Canis lupus familiaris: one gene and its partner. The main gene of each other region encodes a partner of the protein of the gene in region 2 in a complex. Links are inferred from orthologs where the notes say so. Each region holds a gene or a part of one and is shown on either strand. Other genes may lie near its edges.

What was found. Proteins that work in one complex are often made in the same cells at the same time.
Region 1: GTF2A1 (region 2) and POLR2H share a complex: the UniProt entries of both Homo sapiens proteins name them as parts of the TBP-based Pol II pre-initiation complex. The link is inferred for Canis lupus familiaris from reciprocal best matches to the Homo sapiens genes GTF2A1 and POLR2H.

Annotation. Positions count from the first base shown.
Region 1 is NC_049255.1:17,412,735-17,414,901, forward strand, and holds the end of POLR2H (DNA-directed RNA polymerases I, II, and III subunit RPABC3), read left to right. Parts: intron 1-199; coding exon 200-283; intron 284-1,223; coding exon 1,224-1,341; 3' UTR 1,342-1,586; downstream 1,587-2,167. UniProt on the Homo sapiens protein: DNA-dependent RNA polymerase catalyzes the transcription of DNA into RNA using the four ribonucleoside triphosphates as substrates.
Region 2 is NC_049229.1:53,872,660-53,876,415, reverse strand, and holds the start of GTF2A1 (transcription initiation factor IIA subunit 1), read left to right. Parts: upstream 1-1,368; 5' UTR 1,369-1,574; coding exon 1,575-1,604; intron 1,605-2,914; exon of another isoform or gene 2,915-2,933; intron 2,934-3,756. UniProt on the Homo sapiens protein: TFIIA is a component of the transcription machinery of RNA polymerase II and plays an important role in transcriptional activation. TFIIA in a complex with TBP mediates transcriptional activity.

The DNA.
Region 1 (2,167 bases), on a different chromosome or scaffold from region 2:
TCAGTAAAGTGCAGATGATCACACCTTGCTCATATGGTTGCTGGGAGGACTAAATGGCATTGTGTTTGGAAAACGTCTGTTAGAATGGTGACACTTAGTTACCAGTTAACCATTTTTTTTTTCCAGTTAACCATTTTTAAAGAGCTTCTTACTTTTGTTTACTACTTTGAAGAATAACCTTGCTCCTACTGTTCCACAGGGCTGACCAGTTTGAGTATGTAATGTATGGGAAAGTATACAGAATTGAGGGCGACGAAACTTCTACTGAAGCAGCAACGCGTCTGTAAGTTCCATAGTCTTGTGAGAACCCTTGTCCCCCAGCCCTATTCAGATAATCTGAGCTCTGCTCTGAAAATTTGGGCCATGCTTCATGTTTCCTGGGTTGGGTCTCTCCCCAAGCACCTCAGACCTAGGTAGGACTTAGAAGGAAACTGTCTGTTCTGGAACAGTTTCCAATCCGAAATGTAGGCTGCTCGCTTGGCCCTTTGTCAGGACCTCAGGGCTCAGGGGTCCAAATGAGAAACTGATGATCTTGATATGGGAAGTGCAAAGGAAGGTTGCTTCCCCAGGAACTAAATGCAGCATTAAGTGATTAAACTGCTAGGTATTTTGGTATTTGTTTATTTGTGTGTGTGTTTCCCTACTCTGTAATCCAATCCCTAGTTCTTTGGTTTCCTTGCCCAACTATTCTTTTCTCTTCTTTAAAATTTTATTAAAACAGTATGTTCCCTTTGTAAGAAATTGGAAAAGCAGAGAAGTAATCTGAAGAAGCGAGAAAAGTCACCTATAATTCTATACCCATTGGGAACCTTTTACACAAACATTTTTGAATATTCCAGGTTTTTTCCTGTGTACTTTTTTCCTTGAGATCACGTTGTTTGTTACAATGTTTTCTTCTGCTCATTTGCCTTCAAGTTATATAAAACAGGTTTCCATGTGTCAGTTTAAAGCTTTCCTTAAACAATTTAATAGCTGCATAACATTCCAGTAAATGGATATACCTTAATTCGTTTGACCATTTCTGTTATTTTGGGCATGTAGCATTTTCCACTTTTGTTGATAAAAAGAACACTACTTTGCACATATCTGTGCATTCATCTTTGTCTGAATTTTGGTTCCTAATGACAAAACACTAGAAGGGTGTCTCTTTTTCTTAAGCTGGGATGGAGAGCGACTGGGTTGCTGCTGCTCCAGAGCTTAAACTCATGGGACTTCCATTTCAGCTCTGCCTATGTGTCCTATGGTGGCCTGCTCATGAGGCTGCAGGGTGATGCCAACAACCTGCATGGATTTGAAGTGGATTCCAGAGTTTATCTGCTGATGAAGAAACTGGCATTCTGAAACACCCAGGAAGCCAACCTTGCTGTTCAGTCACTCAGGCCTTGGACATCCTTTCGAGCCTGAGAAGCAGTTACTGTTGACCACCTGGTCAGAAAGGGCTGGCTGACTGTTCTCTGGGGGTACATCTTTAGGTGATCTGGACTCAATGGGAAACTTGCCTGTGAAAGACCCAGTGGGAGAGCTTAAAACGAATCAGAAGTTGTTTTGTGTATATGATTTTTTAATTAAACTTTGCTTTTTCAGACTCTTTTCTCCACCTTTAAAAAAAAATCTTTTCCATTACCCTAAAATCATTTTTTTTCCCAATTTGCCTGTGGTATATTCTATTTCTGGCCCACAGCCAGGTGATCACATGTCAATGTAGAATCTATTCTGGCTTCCTGGTATCTGGGTTTAGGGTTGTCTCAGCCTCTTGGTTTACTATCCCCAATATTTATCCTCCAATGTGATTTTCTATCTGGGAGAGAGAGTACTGTGCTTTTGGCTCTTGAGGGCACCCCAGCCCCGGAAGATACCACCCATTTGGCATAGAATTTTGAATTGGCAAGGAGCCCCGCTTGTGTCCTTGCAACACTTCCAGTCTCTTAGGAAGTCAGATCACGTTGATTTGAATGAGTCACTTGCACAGCCTGGAAATGTTCATCATTTTTGTGGAAGCTTTGGATGGAGGCTTTTAGATCCTGGCTTGGGATGCTACTATGAAGAGAATAGGAAGAGCAGATTTGGTGGGTATAGGAACAGGTGGAGGAGCTAGGTGTCTGTTCTACATTTCATAGGTGACCTGGAGGGAGGGTAAGTGGTGGGGGTTCTTACCAGTGATGCTGAA
Region 2 (3,756 bases):
CGGCGAGCTCTGCCTTCGAAGCGGAGCACTCCCCGTTCTGCGTGACACGCTGCCCCGAAGGCGGGAGTCGGGAGCAGCGCAGGTCCGGCGCCTCCTGGTTCACACTCCGACACGTGGGCTTCCTCTGCTCGCTCCGGCGGCGAGAGGCCGCGAGACGGGGCGGCCCCACCGAGGTATTTCCTGTCAGTCCCAGGCGCGGGCCATGCGGTCACAGGATTTCGGCAGTTTTTAAAAATCGAGGGGGGACGTTATCGTGCTGTCATAATCCGGTGATATGCAGGTCGGTTTTTTTTTTTTTTTTCTTTTTTTCCTTTCGGCATTTCCACCACGGAAGTACTAGCACGCTAGTAAGGGGCCGAACCTCGGGGAAACTTAAGCCCAGGGCCTTTTAGCTGTACCGGTGGAAACGACTCAGCCGGTTCAGGGGTCATTAATTCTGAAATGTGTTAGCAGCGGGCTCAAAGCAGCTCTCCCCCTTTAGGAACACGTACACGATCTTGCCGGCGAAGGGCCCGGCCTTCGCGACGCGAGAGGAACCGACGCCTCTGAGCGCCGAGTCCACGACGAGCTCACGCCCCGAGATGACTCCGCATTTAAACTCTGCCCGGAGTCCGAGCGCTCCGGGGGCCGGAAGCGGGGCCACGTGACCGGTCCGCCTCCGCAGCCATTGCTAACGAGGCAGCCGCCAGCGCCCCTTCTGTATTTCCTCGCTTCTCCAAGCGCAGGGAGACGCAGAAACACCTGACAAGAGTTGGCTGCCAGGTAGCTTTGGACTTGAGGGTCAACACCACTCATGCTATGTCCAGCGATACTTTGCAAGCCCCTCAGCCTAAAACAGCTGTGGGGCACTTCCGCCTGGGTGGCAACCAGGTGATCACGCGAGACTTGGGGAGCCGGCCGGACGACTCGACTACCCCAGTCCCCGCGCTCCGCCAGCCCAGCACCCTCCGCTGCGCGTGACGACGCGGCCCACGGCGGCCTCCGCCCCGGCGCGCCTGCGCACGCGGCTCTCGCGGTGTCTCGCGCTCAGCCCCGCCCACCTCTGCCCCCGCCCTTTCCGCCCCTCCCTCCCCCTCCGCCCTGTCTCTCGGCGGCAGCGGCGGCGGCGGCGGCTCGCGCAGCTCGTTGGCTCACTATATAAAGGGGAGAAGCGGGCGGACCGGACGGCTGGAGCTGCAGCCGGTGGCGGCAGCGGCGGCGCGGGGAGCGGCGACCGGTGGTGGTTTCCCTCCTTGGCGCGGGGTGGGGAGCGGGCAACGCCCCCCCGGACCCCAGAAGGGTCGTGGCTTTTTTTTTTTTTTTTTTTTTTTTTTTTTTTTTTTTTTAAGGGCGATTCTCGAGGTTTTTAGCTCGGGGAGGACTGCCCCCCTCCTCCTCTTCCTCCTCCTCCTCCTCTCACCGCTCCCCTTCTACTCTTTCAGGATTCGATTTTGTTTGAAATTTTTACCCCCAATCTTGCGGTGGCTTGGGCCACCCTCCGGGTGTTTTGGTTTTCTTTTTTTTCTTTTTGGTTTTTTGTTTTTAATCTTGTTTTCTCGGGGTTGCCCCCCCTCTTGTTTGTGTTGTGTGTGGAAATGGCGAACTCGGCAAATACAAACACCGTGGTAAGGACGTGGTTTGGTGGCCGGCGGGGGCTTCGTCCGGGCGGCAGCAACGGCCGGACCGGGCGGGGGCGGGGACGGCGGCGACTCCCGGCCTCTACTCTCCTCAGCCGCCCGCGCGGCCGCCGCCGCCGCCGCCGCCGCCGCTTCCCGCCTCGGGCGGAGCGGGCCGGGGCGGCGGGCGCGGGGGGGGCGGGGGGAGGGCGCCTCGGGCTGGCGGCGGCGGCGGCGGCGGCGGCGGCGGCGGGAGGAGGGCGGGGGCGCCGGCGGGGCCTGGGGCCGCCGCGGGGCGGTCGGGGCCGCGCAGGCCGTTGGGCCGGGGCGAGCGCGCGGCTCCGGCCGCAGACCCCGGCCGCCGGGAGGGCGGGCGGGCGGGCGTGAAGCCTCCGCTTCCCCCCCTGCGCCCCCCCCGGGGGCCCGGCCGCGCCGGCTCGACACGGGCGCCCCGAGCAGCCTCCACAGACAAAACCCGCGTCTGGGGAATCGGGCGAGTCCCCAGGACCCGCCGTGTGGCCCACTTCAGTGCAGTGGAAGGCGAACGGCTACTTTGGGGGTTACTTGGGATGTTTCTGGCGGTTGTGCTTATTAGGGGGAGCCTTCACTGAGGCCATTTTATATTTCTTAAAAAAAAAAAAAAAAAGGAAAAAGGAAAGAAAAGGACGAAGGTTGAAAAGCACTTATCTCGGTTCCTTCCGAATCGGTAAAATGGCGAAGGGGAAGCAACACCCCCCCCCCCCATCGTATCTTCCACTAGCAAAAGCACCAAAGCAAACAAACAAACAAACAAACAAACAAAAAAGCCTACAGTGGTCCCAGCGCCCCTGCTTTCGCCTTGAAATTTGCCTACGTCTCCCCCCCGCCCCCCCCCCGTTTGTCCCTTTTTGGTTACTTGCGATCACGTAGGTTTGCAAAAAGCAGTCACATAAAAACAACCTTGTCCGTCACCAACGCCAATGCGATCACTAGTCCACCCCACTCTTATTTTTATTCTGACCGTAAAAACACGTTTTTGTTTTTGTTTTTTTGTTGTTTTTTTGTTTTGTTTTTTTTCCCGGTCCCAAACGCCGCAGACGAGCCCGCGGCCGCCCGACTCCGTACCGTTGGCGACTCGGGTCGATCCATCATGGCTGCGGCCGCTTACCCTGCTTTTGAGTCCCTGAGCCTTGTGGTCCTCCTCCCTTTGGCTGCCCTGTTTATATAGAGCCATTGCCGCTCTCTAATATAGACTCTGCCAGGATGGGAAGGTGCTTTTCAGGCCTACGTCACCGCCTCTCCATTTAAACACTAGATCCGGCTTTAAATAGTGAGAGCTGCTGAGAGCGGGGCTGGGAGGTGCGTGCTCCCGAGGCGAGAGGCAGGAGCGAGCCGAGCGCCCGGTTTATATCTAGGTCCTTCAGCTGCCACTGGGATTTCGCGCCCGACGGGGCCGCTTTCGGAGGGGGGGGGGGGTCCCCAAGTTTTTTTGTTTGTTTGTTTTGACGCAGCAGCTAGGGTTTCCTGCCTTTGTTGAGGGGGCGGGGGGGGGGGGAACGCAGAATTGCTGTCCCTTCTTATATTTTTATCTTTGCTTTTAAAGAGGATTGTAGCTCAGAGGTCTGTGGTCATTTTTGTATTGGGAAATGCGTTATTGTTGGGCATTTAAAGAAAACGACAACAGAAACACCGCTTCCTACATTAACTCTGAGCTGCAGGGTACTTGATGACTCTGATAGTGTTTCGTCCATCGAGTATTCAGAAAATGTGTTAGAAATAAAGCTCCTATATGCCATTGTTTTTCTGTAATGTTAGACACAAAGCTTTTTTGAAGATAAAGTGCCTAAAGCTTCAACGTGTGGACCTTATGTCCACAGTGCATCTATTGTATGTAGGGAAATTGTGAGTAATGAGAGGGGAGGCTTAGTGCAAACTGGATTTTTAAAATATTAAAATTCGAAGTTGACGTTGTCTTTTGATTTCATTGGATATTAACGTTCAAGATAGAAGTTAATTTGGTTTATTTTTCCAGTATTCTGCCTCCCCGGGGTGGGGTGTGGGGGGACTGACACTTTGGAAAGGAACCTCTTAATTAATCATGAGATTAGTGGCTCTTTAATTTACCTTTTTTTAAGTTTGGAATACCTGTGTTTTGAAAGCCAAGAAAAACCTAAATTACTTT